Saccharomyces cerevisiae S288C: one gene and its partners. Changing the gene in region 4 together with the main gene of any one other region gives a genetic interaction. Each region holds a gene or a part of one and is shown on either strand. Other genes may lie near its edges.

Evidence for each region.
Region 1: mutations in MSN5 (region 4) and SWI6 are lethal when combined (synthetic lethality), as found in Saccharomyces cerevisiae (4 studies listed by BioGRID, with this or other methods).
Region 2: mutations in MSN5 (region 4) and ALT1 impair growth when combined (synthetic growth defect), as found in Saccharomyces cerevisiae (2 studies listed by BioGRID, with this or other methods).
Region 3: mutations in MSN5 (region 4) and ARD1 together harm fitness more than expected from each alone (negative genetic interaction), as found in Saccharomyces cerevisiae (3 studies listed by BioGRID).

The regions. Positions count from the first base shown.
Region 1 is NC_001144.5:515,023-521,977, forward strand, and holds SWI6 (transcriptional regulator SWI6), read left to right. Parts: upstream 1-2,917; coding exon 2,918-5,329; downstream 5,330-6,955. Other genes in the region: methionine adenosyltransferase SAM1, read left to right, coding at 240-1,388; VTA1 (Vta1p), read right to left, coding at 1,656-2,648; TOS4 (Tos4p), read right to left, coding at 5,521-6,955. UniProt on the Saccharomyces cerevisiae protein: Part of a complex involved in cell-cycle-dependent transcription. SWI4 and SWI6 are required for formation of the cell-cycle box factor-DNA complex. The repeated element in the upstream region of HO (5'-CACGAAAA-3') is called the cell cycle box (CCB).
Region 2 is NC_001144.5:316,295-322,438, reverse strand, and holds ALT1 (alanine transaminase ALT1), read left to right. Parts: upstream 1-2,423; coding exon 2,424-4,202; downstream 4,203-6,144. Other genes in the region: GEP5 (Gep5p), read right to left, coding at 1-142; XDJ1 (Xdj1p), read right to left, coding at 359-1,738; GPI-anchor transamidase subunit GAA1, read right to left, coding at 4,488-6,144. UniProt on the Saccharomyces cerevisiae protein: Alanine aminotransferase involved in both alanine biosynthesis and utilization. Under respiratory conditions, constitutes the sole pathway for alanine biosynthesis and catabolism.
Region 3 is NC_001140.6:130,230-135,442, reverse strand, and holds ARD1 (peptide alpha-N-acetyltransferase complex A subunit ARD1), read left to right. Parts: upstream 1-3,996; coding exon 3,997-4,713; downstream 4,714-5,213. Other genes in the region: MIP6 (Mip6p), read right to left, coding at 1-889; SPO13 (Spo13p), read right to left, coding at 2,521-3,396; retromer subunit VPS29, read right to left, coding at 4,995-5,213. UniProt on the Saccharomyces cerevisiae protein: Catalytic component of the NatA N-terminal acetyltransferase, which catalyzes acetylation of proteins beginning with Met-Ser, Met-Gly and Met-Ala.
Region 4 is NC_001136.10:1,139,316-1,145,342, reverse strand, and holds MSN5 (karyopherin MSN5), read right to left. Parts: upstream 4,176-6,027; coding exon 501-4,175; downstream 1-500. Other genes in the region: translation initiation/elongation factor MRX8, read right to left, coding at 1-251; chromatin-remodeling protein SWR1, read right to left, coding at 4,867-6,027.

The DNA of each region.
Region 1 (6,955 bases), on a different chromosome or scaffold from region 4:
TTTTCGGGTTCTTGTCTCGAGGAAATTTTAGCCTCATCGTAGTTTTTCACTCTGGTATCGATGAAAAAGGGAAGAGTAAAAAGTTTTCCGTTTAGTACTTAATGGGATTGGTTTGGGACGTATATATCGACTGGTGTTGTCTGTTATTCATCGTTGTTTTTCGGTTAGCTTCGAAAAAAAAATAGAGTAAAAACCAGGAATTTACCCTAAAAACAAGAAAAAATAAGATAAACGAAAATATGGCCGGTACATTTTTATTCACTTCTGAATCCGTTGGTGAAGGTCACCCAGATAAGATCTGTGACCAAGTTTCCGACGCCATCTTGGACGCTTGTTTAGCCGAGGACCCTCACTCCAAAGTTGCGTGTGAAACCGCGGCAAAGACTGGTATGATTATGGTCTTTGGTGAAATTACTACCAAGGCACAGTTGGATTACCAAAAAATCGTCAGAGACACCATCAAGAAGATTGGTTACGATGATTCCGCCAAGGGTTTCGACTATAAGACCTGTAACGTCCTTGTCGCCATTGAGCAACAATCTCCAGATATCGCCCAAGGTGTCCACGAGGAGAAGGATTTGGAAGACATCGGTGCCGGTGACCAAGGTATCATGTTTGGTTACGCCACAGATGAAACTCCAGAGGGTTTGCCTTTGACTATTCTTTTGGCTCATAAACTAAACATGGCCATGGCTGACGCGAGAAGAGATGGCTCTTTAGCGTGGTTGAGACCAGACACCAAGACTCAAGTCACCGTCGAATACAAGGATGACCACGGTAGATGGGTTCCACAAAGAATCGACACCGTCGTCGTCTCCGCTCAACATGCTGACGAAATCACGACCGAGGACTTAAGAGCGCAACTAAAGTCCGAGATCATTGAAAAAGTCATCCCAAGAGACATGTTGGACGAAAACACCAAATACTTTATCCAACCTTCCGGTAGATTCGTCATCGGTGGTCCTCAAGGTGACGCTGGTTTGACCGGTAGAAAGATCATCGTCGACGCTTACGGTGGTGCCTCATCCGTCGGTGGTGGTGCCTTCTCCGGTAAGGACTACTCTAAGGTTGATCGTTCTGCCGCTTATGCCGCTAGATGGGTTGCCAAGTCCCTAGTTGCCGCTGGTTTATGTAAGAGAGTTCAAGTTCAATTTTCTTATGCCATCGGTATTGCGGAACCATTGTCCTTGCACGTTGACACCTATGGTACTGCGACCAAGTCTGACGAAGAAATTATCGACATTATCAGCAAGAACTTTGACTTGAGACCTGGTGTATTGGTCAAGGAGTTGGACTTAGCTAGACCAATCTACTTGCCAACCGCTTCTTATGGCCATTTCACAAACCAAGAATACCCATGGGAAAAGCCTAAGACTTTGAAGTTCTAAGCTTTTTTCCTTTTGGACTTTTTTCTGCCTTCAACCTCCCATGTTTTCATTTGCTCAACACAAGTCAACATGTACATTATACCGTATTTGATGCAGGGACGCAATACCATCATATTCTTGATATAGACTCATTTTTCTCAAATCAAATTTGTATCGATTTCATTTTGCATTATACAGGATTCCTTTTCCTTTCTAACATTTAATACGTAACTACTAATATTAATATATACCTCCTTCAACGGATCAACAAACCAAACTTTATCTTATTCAAATAGAATTTAACAGATCCAACGCCTTAGTTAACTCATCTTTGGCGGTGGGCAGGTCTTCATAATTCAATGCGCTTATGGCGTATTTGGCAAGTTTTTGAATTTGCTCTATTTTACTGGCCCTGTCCATAATTTTTGTCAACTCATCCTTTGTATACGATTTATGCTCTGCTGCAGCAGGTTCTGATGGTGCAGAAGGGCGCGTAAGATCCACTTCTTTCTTCACAACTTGTTGTTCGTCTTTTGTTATTGCATCTTCGTTCTTGTCGACGGTCTGTTCTTCTTCGTTTACGCTATCGGCATCATCAATAAATTCAGGTACCTCATCCACAGGCTCGTATGATGTTGTTTGGTCTTTTGGGGCTAGGCCTTCGACTTTATCATTATTATTGTTTTCCAAATCGCTTGTCTGGTGATCAACATCTTCATCCTTAATCTCCTCGCTATCATCCGCAAAATCTGCATAATCTAACGTTTTCTCGTCGCTGGAACCAATTTCACCCTTTGCCAATTTACTCAAATAAATTTTGCAATACTTAATTCGTTTTTGTAATGAATTTGTACTCGTTTCACTTATATTTTCCTTCCACAGGTGTAAAATGCATGAAAATAAATCAATACAACACCAAAGTGATCTTTTTAACATAACATCCCAGGGACCATCTTTTAGCTGTTTCAGTTTCTCGTTATACAACGACATTGTAAAATTTAGCATATAAATTTTGGCTTTTTCTTGATCATGTATTAGCGTGTTCATAACGTGTAAGCTTTTGTCACTGTCTTCTGCTTCACTCTCGCCGCCAATCTCCTTCTTAAACGCTTCAATAGTATCAAGAAGTTCTGTCGCTAGTGCGGTCATCTCTTGCGACCGATCTTCTTCACTCAGTATCAATTCCACCGCATATAACTGAAGATAGTATCCGATGATCCCTAACCCAACTTTGTCAAAATCCTTCGCTGTAGCGACAACCCTTGCAGCGTTACTAGCCATAGAATTTATTTAAAATGTGGACAATTAGTTTCTAAAAATTGAATCAAATAAAATAAGAAAGCTTATTGTTCCTTTTTTTGTCTTCATCTGGACCGTTTGGATAAGATCATTCACCAAATCTTAGTTTTTTTTTTTAGTTTCCTTCTCCAACGATTTCATAATAATAAAAAAAAACAACAAAAAACACGATTGAGAAACATCAATATGAACTAAGCAATAGCTAAAAAAAAAAGAATAATAAAGGGGAACACAGTATAATTCTCGAGAGGATGGCGTTGGAAGAAGTGGTACGATACTTAGGACCTCACAATGAGATCCCTTTGACACTCACTAGAGACTCGGAGACTGGCCATTTCCTCCTGAAACATTTTCTGCCCATTTTGCAGCAATATCATGACACGGGGAATATTAACGAGACCAACCCCGATAGTTTCCCCACTGATGAGGAAAGAAATAAATTACTGGCACATTATGGAATTGCTGTAAATACAGACGACCGAGGTGAGTTATGGATAGAGCTGGAAAAATGTTTACAATTATTAAACATGCTAAATTTATTCGGTTTGTTCCAGGATGCATTCGAATTTGAGGAGCCTGAAACAGATCAGGATGAAGAAGATCCCAGCCATTCGAAACTACCAGAAAACAAGACCAAAAGTGAAAATTCTAAGGATAATATCAGCTCAAAGAGGATTAATAATTTACAAGATATGAGCCTGGATTCTGATGCACACAGAGAATTAGGCTCTCCTTTAAAAAAACTAAAAATAGATACCTCTGTAATAGATGCTGAGAGTGACTCCACTCCGAATACTGCCAGAGGCAAGCCTAACGATGATATTAATAAGGGCCCTAGCGGCGACAATGAAAATAATGGCACTGATGACAATGACAGAACCGCTGGACCTATCATAACATTCACTCATGACCTAACTTCTGACTTTTTAAGCAGTCCACTGAAAATCATGAAAGCACTACCTTCTCCAGTTGTAAATGATAATGAACAGAAGATGAAACTAGAGGCATTCTTACAACGGTTGTTATTTCCAGAAATTCAAGAAATGCCTACATCCCTTAATAATGACAGCAGTAATAGAAATTCAGAAGGGGGGAGCTCAAACCAACAACAACAGCACGTATCATTTGATAGCCTTTTGCAAGAGGTAAACGACGCTTTTCCTAATACTCAATTAAATCTTAATATTCCTGTAGATGAGCATGGAAACACACCATTACATTGGCTGACTTCAATAGCAAACCTGGAATTAGTGAAACACCTGGTTAAGCATGGTTCAAACAGATTATATGGTGATAATATGGGGGAGTCATGCCTAGTGAAAGCTGTCAAATCAGTAAATAATTACGACTCTGGTACTTTTGAGGCACTTCTAGATTATTTATATCCATGTTTAATTTTGGAAGACTCAATGAATAGAACAATTTTGCACCATATCATTATTACGTCTGGTATGACTGGCTGTTCAGCAGCTGCGAAATATTATTTAGATATTTTAATGGGATGGATTGTCAAGAAACAAAATAGACCCATTCAAAGTGGTACTAACGAAAAAGAAAGCAAACCGAATGACAAAAATGGGGAAAGAAAGGACTCTATACTAGAAAATTTGGACCTGAAATGGATAATAGCAAACATGCTCAATGCGCAGGACTCTAATGGCGATACTTGCTTGAACATTGCAGCAAGATTGGGAAACATTTCAATAGTAGACGCTTTATTAGATTACGGTGCTGACCCATTTATTGCAAACAAATCAGGGTTGAGACCCGTGGATTTTGGGGCAGGTACTTCAAAATTACAAAATACGAACGGCGGTGACGAAAACTCGAAGATGGTCTCTAAGGGTGATTACGACGGTCAAAAAAATGGAAAGGCCAAAAAAATAAGGTCTCAACTGTTGAAAAACCCACCTGAAACAACTTCGTTAATTAATGATGTCCAAAATTTACTGAATTCAATCTCGAAAGATTATGAGAATGAAACAGTGCAATATAATGAGAAATTAGAAAAACTACACAAGGAATTGAACGAACAGCGAGAAGAATTAGCTAATTCTAGAGAACAACTAGCAAATGTGAAGCAATTGAAAGATGAATACTCACTAATGCAAGAGCAATTGACCAATTTAAAAGCAGGAATTGAAGAAGAAGAGGAAAGTTTTAGGGAAGAGAGCAAAAAGCTAGGAATAATTGCAGATGAAAGTTCAGGTATTGATTGGGACTCTAGCGAATATGATGCAGATGAACCCTTCAAAGTAGAGTTCCTTTCAGATTTCTTGGAGGATAAATTACAAAAGAATTATGAAGGCGATATTTCCAAACTATTAGAAGCGGAGTCGAAAGAGCAGATAATGGAACAGATACGAAATCAACTTCCCGCAGAAAAAATCCAATCGATGCTTCCACCAACGGTCTTATTGAAGGCAAGAATAAATGCATACAAGCGGAATGATAAACACCTAACCAATGTATTGGATACAATCAGCACCAAACAATCAGAATTAGAGAATAAATTTAGAAGAGTGTTATCTTTATGTTTGAAAATCGACGAAAATAAAGTTGACAATATGCTTGATGGTTTGTTACAGGCCATATCTTCTGAAGACCCACAAGACATTGACACTGACGAAATGCAAGATTTTTTAAAAAAGCATGCTTCATGAGGGCATGTGATTTCATTGCATTAACTTTTATGACTTTATTTGAAGTTATTTTTTTGTTTTAGCGCTTTATTTACTTTTATTTTACTACATAACTGTATTCTTACAAAATTTTTACGTACTCAGATGGGATATATAGGCACTTGATGTTTTATTTTCTTGTTCTTATCATATATCCGATGGAATAAAATGTTCTATTTTGCTGGCTTTTTCCAAAAATATTGTTTATGTGTCCTTCTACAAGATCTTAAGCCTGTCCTTCCACCTTTTAATGAACTCACCAAGTTTCTTCTCTCGTAATCATCATCGTTTTCTAAATCGTAGAAATACTCTTCGTCCAATGGTTTGCCGGCGGCGTCCTTACCATGACGGTAAATGACACCGACACATTTCGCGTCGCTCAAAATCGAACGTAATTCATCTCTTGAAAGCTCAGAAATTTGTGAGTTCACCTGCTGTAATTGGAATAATGGCGTCTGCTGGACGTTTGCAAAAGCTAGGTGATTGGTTAAAATATGCTGTAGATGCATAACATCAATATTTCTTCTAGATAGCTCATCCAAATTCTCTTTCACCGATTTTTTTGGCTTTGAAGGTAAGACCCTCTTGTTAAGTTTTGGTTTCTTCATAGTCATAGGATTTTTATCAGATGATAGTGAATCTTGTCTCAGGGTTTGTTCCTCGTGATCAACAGAGGAGACGGATGAAAGTGGGGACGATTTAGAATTTAGGAAGTGGTTTAGCATCCTTTCTGCAACGCCAGAATCACTACCAATTGAGATTTTGTTGCTATCCTTAAGTATTTTTTTGGGTCTGTCCATCGAAGTGTCAGTAAAAATCAATGGATGCTTCCTTATACTACCCATATGTTTCGTTTCACTTTCACTTTCAAATTCAGCTTTCTTCTCGAATCTTAACGGCTCTGAAGAAGAGTTTTTTTCTTTTAACGAAATGCGAAGTAAAACCTGCCTAAAATCCAACATGATACCCTTGTAATATGTCATATAAACGGTGTCTCCCTCTTCCAGAGTGAAATTAATGAATCCTCCCTCGTCTTGAATTTCTTTAACACATTTTTCGTTAGAGAATCTGGGAACAAGCCTATATGCCCTATTATTGTTATTCATGGTATCCTTTAATTGATAACAATCAAATTGCTTACGATAGGTAACGATTAATCCGTTCATACTGAAGCAGTGAATCTTCACTTCATTTGTTTGTGGTAAATAAGTTATACTAGCGTGTACTCTGGATATGAACTTATTCTTACAGAGCGCAACATCACATTGCGAACTATTGCGCCCTACAGTAATGGTGCTGATCTTGCTAGGATCTAGTTCAGCATTGATGACTCTAGTATGCCTTGAAGGAGAAGAAAGTTTGGAAGAAAACTTGGGTGACGTTTCTGCCAACTGGCCAGGAAAAGCTGGAGAGGAAGGGATGGCGTCAACCTTATTCGACCTAACGGGAGACGAAACCCTTCCTATACTGGAAGAAGGAAATGGAGTTGGATAATCTCCTTTCCCGAAATTTCCAATTGATTCTGACGCAGTTTTACCAGCTTTCTCATAATTGGATGAGGGACAATTAGGCTGCTGTTTGTAATTTGGTGGAGAGTACGGATCCACT
Region 2 (6,144 bases), on a different chromosome or scaffold from region 4:
TTGTTAACGGCACGGCTATTTCTTTGAACTTGTAATCGCTTTGTTTACTTGTGAGTGTGGTCGTCAATGCTACCTTGGTTATTTGATGAAGCGGCGTAGACTCTATGACCGGCAGTAATAAGGCGTTAACCTGGGACGCCATTGTTGCTCCAAGTTCGCAATCGCTGTTCTGATAGAAGGCCTTTGTATGCTTGCTTTATGTCCGCCGCGATGGGGATTCTTCCTATTTTTCTACTGAAGGTGCGAAAGACTTCATTCTTCACCGCATTCAGTAAATGAATTTCATATATATACATATATACAGGTAGGATAACTTATGAAAAAAAAAAAAAAATAGAATAAAAAGTTATTGATGCCATCATTGGATACAGCAGTACGAACTTCTTGCTTTCTGATGCGCTGAATCCTGTGCTTCTGGCTTGAACGGCCTTATCCCTTCTGGAAGATCGTCCGTGTGAATGATCCGGAAATTTGATATAGTTTCGTTGTTAGTCAGGTTGCTGTCATCTTCAGTATTTACAGTCGCATGTGAGGCACAAGATGAAGATGACGGCAGATTCGTTTTTATTGCTAGTAGTTCTGATTTTTCATTGAACCAGTTATCTGGTGGAAATTCAATATGAACGAAAACATACAGATCGCCGCACCGGCCATGAGGGTTATCTAAAATGGGCCAACCTTCATTGGCGATTTTGATGGTGTCACCAGGTCTTACTACTCTGCCAGGTTTAACGCTCAATGTTAGTAACCTGTCGTCGAAGGTTTTTGTCAAAAATTTCTCAAATCCCGTCAAGGCCTCGCTTAACGATATGGTAATGCTTGTATACAAATCTTCCCCGGCGCCGTCGTCAAAGTTCTTCAAAAAGATTTGCTTCTGCTCCAAGTTTTCTTGTTTTTCAGTGAGATGGAACTTTAAATCACCACATGTGGTCTTATCGATTTCCTCGTCCGCCATCCCCTTGACTGTAATTACGTCGTTAAAGTGGTGTCCCGGAGCCACGTTCACTGTGATGATTTCCTTCTTTGACAGGAGCCCCAAGCCTGCGCAATCGGGGCAAAAGTTCTTTGGATTCTTGGGTCTTTTAGTGTACTTCCCCTTACCATTACATTTCTCACAGACCACCCATTGCGAAGCTACCAAACCGGGACCAAACCTCTTCAGACGTTCCTTTGAACCCTTTCCAGCGCATGATTCACATTCCACATCGTGTGTAACGTGAATTTTCCTCTTTGGTTTCCAGCCAGAACCGTGGCACTTTATACAGATGACCTGTCTCTTTAAATCAAACTTCAGCTTCTTGCCCATGTACAAATCCTTCAAAGTAAGAGATATATCGATATCGATATCCTTAGAGCTTGTAGAGTTGCCCTCTTCGTACGCATCATACTCGCCAGGGAAATTATTTCCATCGTGACTTCCATTATTGAAGAAATTGTTAAAGAAGTTCATAAAATCTTCATCTCCAAAGCCATTAGCGCCACCGCTGCTAGCGGCACCATTATCATCACCATACAAGTCGTAATGTGATTTCTTCTCCGGATCGCTCAAGATCTCGTAAGCGGCAGTGATCTCTTTGAATTTGATTTCATTTACCTCCTTTGAGTCTTGATCCACATACTTGTCCGGATGATGTTTCAGGGCAAGCTTTCTGTAAGCAGTTTTAATCTCTTGCACGGTCGCATCTCTCGTCACCCCCAACACATCGTATAACCGGTCTCCTCTATCACTGCCACTCATTCAAAACTACACCTGCGTACTTACTTTTCCCTTTCTTTTGGGTCCAAGCGGCATATCTCTTAAGATAAGATAAGCCTGACTCTTTCTTTGCCTCTCTGCCTTTCTTTCTTCTTCCCTTCTGCAGAGGATGGCTCGTCGCTACTCAAATCCCGACCCAAGAAACAAAGAAACAAGGATTGCACAGCAGAGCGCTGCCCCACACACATATATGCATATGTTTATTTACCGCATATTCGTGGCTATATAATCCATATATAATACACAGCACATTCATGATATAATCTTACATAGTAGCACTTCCCATTAGACGTTTTCTGCTTTTACAGTACTGGTTTTTTTTTCACTCTTGCGTCTTTTTTTTTTTTCATTCTGAAGGGGTCCAAGCCTAACGATTTTCGACCTTTCGTTGAGACAACTTCACGTACTCTTCTGACCTGCTGTGGTTGACGTATTTAGAGTTTGCTGCGCCCTTTGTAAACGATCGTGACCCGCGGACCATACTAGGAAAAGCTCTTCCGTTACTACTACTGCTTTCTCGCTATTTTACTCTAGTTGTTCATACTAGTCACACGTTGCTCGAGAACAGGACCAGCTTCTTTGTTTCTCCCCCGCATTTAATTGTTTCTGCTTCTCAATTGAACGCATATAAATATATTTCCCCAGTCTTTATTTTGCTCTCTCCACGATGTTATCACTGTCTGCCAAAAATCACTTCACAGTGAGTAATTCTATAACTCACGTTATTAAGTCATATCATATAAGGACTCTCACTTCAAGCGCAGAAAAAATGCCACATATCACTACTCCTTTTTCTACCTCAGCCAGTAGTACAAAGTTAAAAGCTTTCAGGAAAGTTAGACCCGTCCTACAGAGACATAGCTCTTCCTGGATTGTTGCTCAAAATCATAGACGTTCATTATCTGGTCAATCTTCGCTAAACGACCTGCGTCATTTGAATCGCTTTCCACACCACACGTTGAAAACTTCGAATAACGAGTTTTATCCCGCCGAACAATTGACTTTGGAAGACGTAAATGAAAATGTCTTGAAGGCTAAGTACGCCGTTAGAGGTGCCATCCCAATGAGAGCTGAAGAATTGAAAGCTCAACTGGAGAAGGATCCTCAATCTCTGCCATTTGACAGGATTATCAACGCCAATATTGGTAATCCTCAGCAACTACAACAGAAACCTCTGACTTACTACAGACAGGTCTTGTCTCTCTTACAATACCCAGAACTATTAAACCAAAACGAACAGCAGCTAGTTGATTCGAAATTGTTTAAACTAGATGCCATTAAACGTGCAAAGAGTTTAATGGAAGATATCGGTGGTTCTGTTGGTGCTTACTCTTCTTCTCAAGGTGTAGAAGGTATAAGGAAAAGTGTCGCTGAATTTATAACGAAGAGGGACGAAGGCGAGATATCATACCCAGAGGATATTTTCCTAACTGCTGGTGCATCCGCAGCTGTCAATTACTTGTTATCAATTTTCTGTAGAGGGCCAGAAACGGGTGTCTTGATTCCAATTCCTCAATATCCATTATATACCGCTACTCTAGCTTTGAACAATTCTCAAGCTTTACCATACTATTTAGATGAGAATTCAGGTTGGTCAACTAATCCAGAAGAAATTGAAACTGTCGTCAAAGAGGCTATACAGAACGAAATCAAACCTACAGTTCTAGTGGTTATCAATCCAGGTAATCCTACAGGAGCTGTCCTATCACCTGAGTCTATAGCTCAGATTTTTGAAGTCGCAGCCAAGTACGGTACAGTAGTGATAGCTGACGAAGTTTATCAAGAAAATATCTTCCCGGGCACCAAGTTCCATTCTATGAAGAAAATTTTGAGACATTTACAGAGGGAACATCCAGGTAAATTCGATAATGTTCAGCTAGCTTCTTTGCATTCGACTTCTAAGGGTGTTTCTGGTGAATGTGGTCAAAGGGGTGGCTACATGGAACTCACTGGATTCAGCCATGAGATGAGACAAGTTATCTTGAAACTAGCCTCGATTTCATTGTGTCCCGTTGTCACAGGTCAAGCTTTGGTTGATTTGATGGTTCGTCCACCAGTGGAAGGGGAGGAATCATTCGAGTCGGACCAAGCAGAACGTAACTCCATCCATGAAAAGTTAATTACAAGAGCAATGACACTGTATGAGACATTTAACTCTTTAGAAGGCATTGAATGTCAAAAGCCTCAAGGTGCCATGTATTTATTCCCTAAGATAGACTTACCTTTCAAGGCAGTTCAAGAAGCTCGCCACTTAGAGTTAACTCCGGATGAATTTTATTGTAAGAAGTTGTTAGAATCTACTGGCATTTGCACTGTTCCCGGTTCTGGGTTTGGTCAAGAACCTGGTACTTACCATTTAAGAACAACATTTTTGGCACCTGGTCTGGAATGGATTAAGAAATGGGAAAGTTTCCATAAAGAATTTTTTGACCAATACCGTGACTGAATAAAAGGGGGCAGAACAGTCTTCAATAAACATTTAAATAGCTAGTTTATTATAATAATGTGATCGTTTCTTTCTTCCACAACTCACATATAGTTATTTGATATTATCGCATCTTCGCTTCTCTATGCCATGTTTCCATCAATACTTATGTTTTATTTAATACATATTTGTATCAGTATATCATATCATTTCATCTTCTTTTGCTTCGATTTGTAATGTTTGTGCGTATAAAATCAATTGCGTAGTTCGAACACCCGTTAATCCTTTACTTCTTACCAATGGCACCTAACTTTGCTTTTCTTTCGACCTTACTACGACAGATTTAGATTCAAACGATGACGCTAATATCAATAGCCAACATGGAAGCCAACCTATACAAAGTACAAACCAACTCCAACATTTCAAATCCAACCATGCTGAAACCAGTTTGTTTATTATATCAAATCCATGAAATTCATCATCAAAAAATAGTCCGAATAAGGTTATTGAAATAAATGGATTTGTCAAAATTAATAGTACTAAATTTTTTAGTTTTTGTTTCTGTTGTTGGGGGGTTGCTGGCGTTGTATCCATGTGATTCTCGACGAGCTCTATCTCATCTTTCGGCTCAGTTTTTATTGGGTTAGAGGATTGAGTTGTCACCTCATGTTCGCTAGAACTTTCAACAATGGTCTTCACAAATGTCATAGGAAATGCCAATGTGCCGATCAGTAAAGCCATTGCAAAGTTTATCATTAGCAAAGATGTTGAAACCAAACTGAAATATAAAAAAGCAACATTTTTCAACCTGTATGATAGTGGTTCTGAGATGTGAATTTTTCTGGAAAGTATCAAAGGTAAAAAACAAGATGCCATGCTAATTGTCATCAATAATCCCGATGAAGGTATTAGAAGAAACGCTTGTGAAACAACAAATGATATCACCAATGACACGAACCAAACCAACAACGCTACCAAATTATACTCGGAAAATAAGGATATATTTGCATAAGCATTGTTTATAAATGCATTTAATGAACTTATGGCGAATGCTATAGATAAAGCCACAGCGCTTGGCAAATAACTACTAATGGATACGAACTGACGTGGTGCTAATAACAAATAAAAGAAGAACGATTGGTGAAATTTTTCCAAAAGGTTATTAATAGAGCGAAACATTGCTTCGGGTATACGTCCAAATGTAGTAATATCATGACCACTGTTTCCATGTGCTTTCAATGTTACAGATTGAATCCTCCAGCCGCTAAATGCCTCGTTACCATGGGGCTTTTTAACACCGGACAACGCCCAATCCCTTATTCCCAGGCATAATATTTTTAATCTTGACCAGAAATTATTATTAGTTAACTGATCACTGGGTAGACCGTGCAAAGAAACTTTCATACCTTCATGTTCCGTAATGGATATAGCGATGTTGACAAGATCCAAATTGGGCAGCTCACCATTCAGACCGTCGTATGAGATTTCTACATACTCGAAGAAATCTTCCGTACTCGAATAATCCAACACAACAGCAGCTTCAATGGAACCACCAGTCAAATCTAAGGAAGTATGGTATGCCTCAACCCATGATCTTAATGCTGCACGAGGATTTTCGCTGAAGACAACAATTATATTCTTGGACCATACTGGCCAACGTGAGAAAAATCTTGCTAAAGATACACCCAAAGCTGCGCCGCCAATATTGAATTCATCATCTGAATTAAACCATGGAACGGCAAGCACCATCGCTTCTGTTCCATCACCCCTAGGAGCGTGCATTACACCGTACAATGTTTCTCCATATTGTTCATTTTCGTAAATAGCAGTCTTAGTACCAAATTCTTGTAACCAAGAACCCATCAAATTGTTTCTTTCCATAGAAGTCATGTTTACCATTTCTTTAATTTGAGATCGATAGCCCCTCAAAATGTTCCATTCAGATTCTCTAAAGTAACTATAC
Region 3 (5,213 bases), on a different chromosome or scaffold from region 4:
CGATAACTATGTCGGAGCCAATCATTTTTTTTCTTTTTGTAAATTCAGGTCTAGTTCTTACTTCTTTGTCAAAATGCAATCCACATATAATTTTATTTCCAAAAAATTCTTGGTTATTGTATTTTTTGATTACATTTCTAGCAGAAATATCGTTATCGAAATAAACGAACCCAATGTTTTTTCTTCTTTCTAGAAGACATGACAGTACATTTCCGTACTCGATCATTATTAGATAAAATGATCTTGTGGTCAGTTGGGGATTTTCCAGTGGTAAGTTAGAGAAAAAAACATTTGTTCCGATGTTTTTTCTAAATAATGTATTTTTCATAGATGGCATTATTTTAACTTCTTGACCAAAAAAAACCGTATAATTAAATTCTTTCCTTGCAGATTCTGCATCGTTTTTATCCTTGAAATTCAAATAGCCATAACCCAATGATTTTTTGGTGAGAAAATCACGACACACTTTAGCAGATTCAAAAGATTGATACCTTTTGAATATCTTCCTTAGCATTTCTTCAGTGACAGTTGATTTCAGATTTCCTATAAACAAACTATTTGTCTTTGAAGTTTTCGTGATATATTTTTGCACGCTTCCCTTTGCAACAGTTTTTTCAAATACTTGCTCTTGTTCTTTCTTTTCTTGAGTTGCATTTTTACAATCGTATTTTTTGAGGCTATTCTTTTCTTTGACTTCAGCATCCTTTAATTTCACATCACCGAGCTTATATCCAGCTCCTTGCACGCGTACTAGTGCTTGGGCTGATATCGTTTTGAAGCTTTTCTGCCTTGCATCTTTATCATTTGGGCAACTTTTAGAAATCGATCTGGGATTTTGCTTGCTATTTAAAGAGATATTATTCAATACATTACCATGAGAGTTTGGCATCTTTTTTTAGGGAATTTTTCGTATTTCTGCTTTTATTGACTTGGATAATTCATTATGTTAAGTAAGCTCTAATTGCTAAAAATGCCATAAAAAGAAAACTTATTGGAAAAGGACCGCCATTTCGAACGGAATTTGTGACACAAGTTCATTTTAGCAAAAAAAGGTCCTACCCGGATTCGAACCGGGGTTGTCCGGATCAAAACCGAAAGTGATAACCACTACACTATAGGACCGGAACTTACTGGTCGATCTGAAAATCATGATCGAATACGTCATCCTTGCATTACCCAAAATCAATCAATTTTTAATGAAATACATCAAATTTTGATTGTTGTTATGAAACTTCAAAATATCATCCGTTTATTAGTACTCACGCTACTAGTTTATTGTCAAATAAGTTGTAAGAAGATGGCATAAACATTGAGAAACAGTCATCAATTCTAATGAAAGCAGAAATGCAAGGATTGACAATGTAATAGGGTAATGAAAAATATAGAACGGAAGGAGAAATAATCATAATAACCTTATGTCGAAATACAGATTCTGAGAATTAGGTGAATTTTGAGATAATTGTTGGGATTCCATTTTTGATAAAGGCTATTATATTAGGTATACACAATATACTAGAAGTTCTCCTCGAGGATTTAGGAATCCTCAAAATGGAATCTATATTTCTACAACCTAATATTACGATTATTCCTCATTCCGTTTTATATGTTTCATTATCTTATTACATTATCAATCCTTGCACTTCAGCTTCCTCTAACTTCGATGACAGCTTCTCATAACTTATTTCATCATCTAACACCGTATATGATAATATATTGATAGTATAATTATTGGTTGATAGACGATAGTGGATTTTTAATTACATTTTGAGGATTCTTATGTTCTGGTGGATAACTACTAGTATATTCTGCATAGCTGATATCATAGCCTTCACCAACAAGGAAATCGCAACAATCATTAAATCATTCACTCAATATTCATAATCAATGGATGATGTTAAATTCTTATTTTAACATTTAGTTTGTGATTTCCGGTAAAAGGGTAGTGTTGTTTTTTTGAGAGCCTTTTCTGACGGACAAATGGTCGCAGGAAATATAAATTTATATTTAGTAATACGCAATCGCATACACATAAAAGAAGCCGAAATATTTTATCAAATACAATAGAAGCTAAAAGCAAGAATTGATAATGTAATAGGATAAAGTAATATAGTTATGGAGATTTATCGACGCCTTTTTGTGGATTCCAAGACCCTCGAGAAGAACTTCTAGTATACTCTGTGTACGAATATTATAGCCTTTCTTCAACAATGGATTTCAAACAATTATCCAATTATTCACCCAAAATTTAATATAAAACATACAAGGATTGCAATTTCAATTGACTTATACTAAGGCATAAGATCCTGATATTATGCTTACGACTTATATAATAAGTGGCAACTTGGCCGAGTGGTTAAGGCGAAAGATTAGAAATCTTTTGGGCTTTGCCCGCGCAGGTTCGAGTCCTGCAGTTGTCGATAATTTTTTTAAAAAAAATTGTGGAAATTTTGTCATTCAGTATTAAAGATTTTCTATGCAATAAACTAATTAACATTCTACAGAAAAAGTAAACTAATCTTTTTAATTAAGGGAAGACTCACTATCATTATAAGTTGCATTTTGTCCACTAGACTCATAATCGGAACAATTAACATCCAATGTATTTGAAAGTCTCTTTTTACTTAACTTTGGTGCTGCCCTTGGTGTCTCTTGGCCAACAAAATCTCCGTTATTAGAAATCGAGACCGGATATATTGGAAGATATTGGTAATTTTTTTCTTTATCTAGACTTTTGGTCTGATGGGGCAGTCTTGTTTTCTTAAACAATGGCGAATCGTATACGTTAACATTCGGATAAAGCAACTCCGGCCGTTGGATGGGAATGGCATAGTTTAGGTTTGGGTTATGACTTGGCGTCAGGAACGTTGGGTTTCCAACGAAATTTTGATACGGGCTAAAATTATACATAGGAGAAGGAGCAATATAGTAAGGAACTGGAAACATGGGTGCTTCTCTTTCTACATTTATTTGAGAAGATTGAGAAAGAACCGGCGTTGAAGTAGATTTTGGAGGCTGCTCAATGTCCTCGAACCTTAAGGAATTATCAAATGAGGGGCGCTCTATTGTTTGTCTTTCGTTTTTCAAGGTATTGCTTGATTTATTTTTCAAATATCGAACATCTCCAGCCTTTGAGTACTGTTGAGCATCACTTACAAAATTTAATCCTGGATGTGGGCTTTCTAGTCTTAAATCGACATGTTTCGAATTGAATATATTTTCTGATTCTGTTTTTTTTGTTTTTCTGATTTCCTTATTCTTGATTTCTTTACCAATTTTAAAAGCAAGTGGAGAAACTCGCAAGTTTGGGGTCTTCTCTTGAAGAGGTTTTTGAACTTTCCTTTTAGAATGTGTTGGTGACCCTAATTCGAGTAGCCTAAAGCGTTTTCTGGGTGCCATAATTATTCTCGACTCAACTTCAATCCGTTTTCTTTCTTCTTATTGCGCTAATTGTCTGTTAGACACTTTTATGAGACTTCCTTTTTGTCGGCGGCTATTTCTCAATATACTCCTAATTAATACATTTCCGTGCAAAGGTACTAACTAGCTAAACGGATACTAAAGAATTCAAATGTGAATTTAAGCATAACTGCAGGTAAATCAAGAAGCTTGAATATTATACTGTAGTCAAAAATTAGATGTGTAAATACTGTGTATTATAATTCTGAAGTTTATTCAGAAAATATCATGGAACAAATGATACGCTGAAGTGCCTTCTGCCCGGAGATAAAGAATTCATAAAGTATAATCTCCATGAGACTTCCAGGACAAATATTTTCTCTTAAAGCGCTTGCTTTAGTAGTATTGCATCCAATGCTAATTTGTCTTTATTGATCTCTAGGCTCAATCCTCACTTTCTCGCGTCAATTGGTTTTTTGAACAGAAAAAAAAAGCACCGTCTGAAAAGTTTGAAACCTTTTGTCAGCAACGAGTAATTGCCAAGTGAAAAGGGAAACCTAAATACATACGATCAAGCTCCAAAATAAAACTTCGTCAACCATGCCTATTAATATTCGCAGAGCGACAATCAATGACATTATATGTATGCAAAATGCCAACCTTCATAACCTACCCGAAAATTATATGATGAAATATTATATGTATCATATTCTCTCGTGGCCAGAGGCTTCGTTTGTTGCTACTACCACCACTTTGGACTGTGAAGATAGTGATGAACAAGATGAGAACGACAAATTGGAATTGACCTTAGATGGGACCAATGACGGCAGGACAATCAAGTTGGATCCAACATACTTGGCTCCGGGCGAAAAATTAGTTGGATACGTTCTCGTGAAGATGAACGACGACCCCGACCAGCAAAACGAGCCACCAAATGGTCATATTACTTCCTTAAGTGTCATGAGAACCTATAGAAGGATGGGGATTGCCGAAAACTTAATGAGACAAGCTTTATTTGCGTTGAGAGAAGTTCATCAAGCGGAATATGTTTCCTTGCATGTGAGACAATCTAATAGAGCAGCTTTACACTTGTACAGGGACACATTGGCGTTTGAGGTGTTGAGTATCGAGAAAAGCTACTATCAGGATGGTGAAGATGCATACGCCATGAAGAAGGTTTTAAAATTAGAGGAGTTGCAGATAAGCAACTTCACCCATCGCCGTTTGAAAGAGAATGAGGAAAAACTAGAAGACGATCTAGAAAGCGATCTACTAGAGGATATCATTAAGCAAGGCGTAAATGATATCATTGTATAATTAAATCAACCTATATAAACGTAGTATATTTTCATCCAGGCTTCTTCACAAGCTCTGTTAGCTCTTTTTGAGCACGGTTCTAAACACTGCAGTGCTAATTCGGTAGAATTGTGTGAGCATGAATAGTAAGGAAACTGTGCATGCAAGCTTTCTTTTTTTATATATGTAATATCCGGCAGATAGGATATCTTAATTACATCTATCTCGTCTGCAAGAAAAAGTTCACGAATGCATCTAATGTTTAGACATCATAGAAATGCATAAAAATGAAAATGGCTACCCTATTCCTTTTCATAAACCACTTTATCGACCTTCACTTCTCCATTAACGTATAAATAAATGTATAACGTGCAGGTATTGCCTTGAATATCCAAGAGGCAGAAACTTGGTGAATTAGACCCATTTATATCCGAATCTGACATATCAACCTCGTCTTCCTTAAATTGGTTTTCAGGCTTAACGTTGCTTTCATTCTCATTCTCACGTTCCCCAGCAGTGCC
Region 4 (6,027 bases):
TTAACCTTATTTATATCAGAGTTAGATGGCTTTTCGTAATGTATGTTAAAAACATCGTTTAGTTTTAGCCAATTCGGAAGCCTTTCTTTTGGCCTACTATTAAGTTTCTTTTTAAGAGCTGTCTTGGGAACTTTTTTTTTAGCTTTTTCAACAGATAATTGCGTGGCTAGCGTTGTTCTTTTAGTGTTAGCAACAATGTTTTGTATAAAAGCCGCCGGTGTATGCACGTACCTCTTACACAGTTGTTCCATTGCCAATGGTTTCCTATTTCGCTAAAATATTAGGGAATATGTGAAGAAAAAATCTTCAGAAATACCTTGTTCAGACCCACATTAAAACGCTTGATTATATGCATATTTACCGGCTGCCGACTTTCATTAAAAAAATTGCGAATACAGAATTTTTTTTTTCACAATAATTACAATTTTTAGCACGATTCAGATGTCTATTTGCTTTCTCTAATTTCATCTACACATCTACGTATATATGGCACCTTATTATCAGTTGTCATCAAAGAGATTACCCACAGCACCGTCTTCAATGTTCGGATCATCCAGCATGTCTCCGTTTTCTTTATTCTTCTTAATTAATCTCTCATTTGCCTTCTTGAGGATAGCTTCCCTTTTCTCTTGTCTTTTTCTCTCATCGCCTGCATGGTCCACATTACCATCTTCTTTCCCACTGGTGGATTTAACCCAATCTATAAAATCAATCATGAGTGCCCTTTGTGTTTTGTATTCGTCCACGCTCCTTAAATTTCTGTATAACTCATCAATATTATAACCATTAGATATCTCAAAAAGGAACGCTCTAGCAGAGGGATATTCTTTGCACAGAGTCAAAAAAATCACAGTGAAAGCATATAGTGCCTCATGGAAAGAATCCTTAAACGCACTATTACACAGCACATTTAGCAACAGATTTTTCATCACTTCAAATGTGAAATATTCATCCACCGTGTTGTTTTGATTAAGGACTGAGGTTAAGCAGCATTTCATTACTAGGATGGAGTTAAATGAACATTTTGTATCCTTGAAGGAAATTAAATGGTTCAAAAGTTTCAAAAATGGAGCAAGGGTGTTTAAATCATTAAATATAATTTTTCTCATCTCCATTTGATGGTTATTTAGCCTGCTTTTAGCACTGTTTGGATTGGCATTGCCTTGACCAACACAATCAATTACTATTCTAACAACAACTGTGGTTAGTTGTCTCAACAAATTCTCTTCCAAAATTTCTTCAGTCATTTGATCATCGTCAGTTGGAACTGGGTTCATGTCCATATCATTCATATGCGAGGACCATTTCTGACATAGCAGCAGGTCCAGGATTTCAAATAATTTAGGCAAAAATGCGGGCATGAATTTCCCCAGACAATCTTTTGGACAACCTTTTAATATAGGACGAATGGCTATATTCATTATGTGTTTCCATCCATGTGTTGAAACTCCAGGGCTTATCTCATTGCTACCTGGCTTAAATATGGCAATAGAGTTCAGTAGTAGGTCGGGCGATTCGTCCAAAAGGTAAAAAACACTACCAAGTGATGATATGGCACTTAAAACAAGTAGAGTGTATTCCCTTGTATACCTAATGATGTGTCCTACGGAGTCGGCGAAGTCTCGTAAGGTTTGCATCGCTTTCATATGTTCATCAATAAACTCATCCTTTGATTTATTTGAAGCTCCGGCCTCCCAAAATCTTTCAATAGTGGAATACTTGACGAAGGATTGCACAACCGTAGGTAATCCTTTCCAATTATCTGGATCGTGGTAGGATTGCAATTGGTACAGTAGTCTCGTGATGTAAGGTAATATTGGGACAATCCTAGGTCTCCACAGATCTTGTAGCATTTTGAATTCTTCATCTGTCTTTATACTTTGCATTGAATAATGAATGAACATTCTTGTTGCACGAACAGGAAACAAGCTTTGCCAACGTTTGGTCAATTCCGACTTCAGCTCTTTACCCTCATCATCAATTGGAATTGATAAAAGGTCACTATTTTCGTCGATATCACGCCTCTGGAAATATTCTGCGATCTGAACAATACCTAAGCGTTCCATAAACCAATGCAAATCAGAAAGACCAACAACTGTTGTTTTATCAGACCAGGCTAAAAGTTCTGGATCCACAATAGCCGCAAATCTTTCCTCTTTCATATCTAATGAAGACTTCAATACAATGATCAATAAGAAGGATTTGAAGGAAATTTTTTCATGGTAAGATAAGTTGGGCATGATTCTGGCAATGACACTTTCAAGGTCTGGGTATATTTTTTTCAGAGATTCGGGCATTAATAAAGCCATCCTATTCAACTCGATACCACAAGCATATCTCAAATCTCTAACTGCGTCTGATTCAGCGCCTCTCTCTTCCAAATTAATTTCTGGATAGTCCATCGTGGCGCTTGTTATGATTTTTTCTAAAAGTGTGAAAAGCACATTATCTTTTAACATTGTCAAAAAAAGTGCAAAATTTTGGATTTGTTTCTTCAATAACAATGGTTCTCTTAAATTTAATGCAATTAACTGGTTTGACAAAATTTCCAGTTTTTGTAATATGGAATCTAGTTTTTCGTCATAATCATCTCCTGTTGGATACCAGATCTTCCATCTTATACAACCATTGATGAAACATTCAACAATCATGTATTGGGAGAGGGCACCTAAATAAGGCTCTAATTTATGGTCCAAAAATGTGGAACTTAAGACCTGCTGACCAAATGGAGAGCTGAAATAATTGTTTAATCTGTTGTTCAACCAATCATAAGTAAGGTCTAATTCGACGCAAGAAATCAACCTAATGATGTCTCTTATTCTTTTCCTATAAGTGGAACAAAATGTTTGAAATTCGGACTTGGATTGAAAATCAATCTCCGCAAATTTTTTGGAAATATGACCATCAATCTGTTCATAATAGACTAAAGCATCCGCGGCAAACTGTAGTAGATCAGGAATGACATATTTCTCCAGCTTGGGTAAGTATTCATCGTTTCGAAGACAGGTACACCATAGGTCTAATGTTAATCCGCTAACGATTAAGCTTGGGTTATAAGTTGTCTTTAATACAAGCTTAAAATATTTTTGAATTTGGCCATTTGTCTCCTTAATCTTTGGGACACAAACATAGAGACAACTGATCATATCCACGAACTTTTTAATTATAGGATATTTCGTTTCATCTATATCATCTGTAGGATCAAACAACAAGCTTTCATAAACGCTATCTAATAAGTCCATATTATCAAAAACTCGATCTATGGTCATTTGGTAATGGCTTTCATTACTATAGGGACGGGTCAACAGAATATGTATCGAGTCTAATGCCATTGACTGCGCCCTTGGGATATTGCTGGATAAACAAGTCAATAAGGAGGATAACACGTCATTTCTTACAATGACCTCTGTTAATGGCCAGTTTAAACACGTCTTCAGAGTTTCTAAAAGCCTTATGATGTATTCAGAATTATTCTGTTGTAATGCATTATTCAACTCTGGAATCCAAACAGAAAACCAGCCCTCTTCATTAGCTTTAAATTTGGTCCATTTATCACTGAATTTGTATTTTATTGCGAAAACTTCAATAGGGCAAACAATCATTACACATAAGGGTTGAATAACCGTCATCCTTTTCAAAACAATTAGGTCGTCCAACAAGAAAACATCTTCAAAAAGGATTCTGAAAATTATTAATGCTAGTTCTCTTGACGATTGATTTATGTTCCAAAGTTCGAAAAGGTTATTGTCCATGTCCACCCAAGATGTGAGTAACTGTTCTTCCGTAGGGTTTGTCTGCTTAAGAGCCTCACCCCATGTTCTTTTTGCCACCTCTACCCATAAAGTGGCTAATTTTTCCTTAATATATCTGGTATCATAATCTTGCACCCCAAAATTAAGTTCCATGACCCATTTTCTCAGGGCCACTCTTTTCCCCTCGTCATAATCATTCCAGTTTTTCTTCACTGCATGGTCTAGTAATCCTAGTCCAAAGTATTTCAATATAGAATTAGTGGGGTTTTGCAATGCAATTTCGTAGCCCCAAAAGGGCGATTCTGAGCATAATTTCACTTCATCTAAAAATTTCTGAGCTTCTTGCCGTTGAGAATTGTTAGACTTGGGGGAGTAAATAACATCTAGTGCGCTAACAATCTGAGAAGCGCCTGTGGAATCCATTACTTTTCTTCCAATCAACGTTAGAAAAAAAATTTCAGATTCTAAAAATTCAAAAAGTGATTAAAAGGAAGAAAACAAAATATACTATAAATAATTTCAATAGTTTATCACAGTAACAATTGCTACACGAATGTAAAGAGTGAATATGGTTTTTAATGGCTAATGCAATGACACCTTACGTTCTCGCCTTGTTTATTTTTCTGTTTTGCTCTTCTTCCGATCTACAAAACTTGAACGGTTGCAACAAATAGGGGGATCTAATCAGGGTGTACTTAAAAGAACGGCTCTTCTACAGGCTCAACGAATAAAGATAGGCTAAAAACACACACGCTCGTCACTCCAGCACCTCTGTTCAATGGAATCTTGCTCTTAAAACTCTTTGACAAATATTACTACATCAAAAGCTTAGTACTCTTGAAGTCTCTTTGGAAAAACCAACCTTGATCGCGCAGCAATGTGGCAATGCCCCTCCGCTGTGGCGCGCCGCCATCACCCGGTAAATAGAAATTGGTGACCAAGGAACAATGCCATGGTGAGTACATTACCATAAAAACCAAGAGGCGATAGTGTTGTCGGAAATAATAATACAATTTGTTGATTCATTATGGCTATATATCATTAAAATATTCACAATAGGTATATAGTCCGATTTGGACAACTAAGGCAGCGGTGAAGAGTAGAACCTGGTCCTTCAATAATAATAACCGTTGGCAATAAACCTGATCATGTACTCGTCAACATGGGCAGTGCCCTCATACTCATCAAGTTCAGCATGATTTTCTTCCTCTTCATTAGCTGCTTTTTTTTCTGTGCTTTCGTCGAAATCGTCATTGTCAATTTCGACTTCTCTCATGGCTAAGTTTGCAGCTTTAACATCATCCTCATCTTCCGCTTGCGCAAGAAGTCTTTCCAGTTGTCTGGGATCTTTGGCTGCCACATCTGCATCTGCTATTAGTGGTTTATCTCCACCTGAAGCATTTTCGGGCAATTCGGATCCCAATAAATCTCTCACCGAAAGTTTGCTGAAATAATCTGTTGTGAAGTCACCCTCTTGAATAACAACATTATCCAATTGTCTTTTTTGGTTGGCTTTTTTTAAGATATTGCTTTCTATGGTATGTTCGCTGACAAATCTGTAAATATGCACATCTCGAGTCTGTCCAATTCTGTGACATCTATCTTGACACTGTTTGTCCATGGCTGGATTCCAATCTGAATCGTAAAAAATAACTGTATCTGCCCCAGTCAGATTGATACCTAGCCCTCCTGATCTACTTGATAGGATAAATACCGTTATTCTTGAGTCAGTGTTGAATCTCTCTGTTAGGATTTGACGGTCTTCGATCTTTGTGGCACCATCTAGTCTCATATACAAATAACCATGATAGTTTAAAAACTGTTCCAGAACGTCCAAAACTTTTGTCATTTGTGTGAAGATAAGTGCCCTATGTCCATTGTCCTTCAGCTGCTGTAATAAAATTGCTAACTTCTGCAATTTACCACAATCGTATTGAAGCAGCGATTTGTCCGGGAATGCGATTGTTAATTTGGTTTGCAGTTGGTGTAATGGGTTGGATACTTCAAAACAGTTCTGCATTACCTTTAGCCTTGTGTTTTCGCCTACCGAACTGTCATCATTTAATCCCAATGCCAACTTTCTCATATCTAGTGAGACGGCACTTGGGGTTAACACTGCAAAGGTATCTATGATCTTTCTATTATCCAATACCCTGGTTTGCAAGGGTTTTATTAGTTCATTATCAATAATGCTTGATTTATCATATTTAACCCTTCTATCTTTCGTTAATAGGTCAATAAGGTTCTTTCCGAATATGGGTCTTCTGTCGCATCT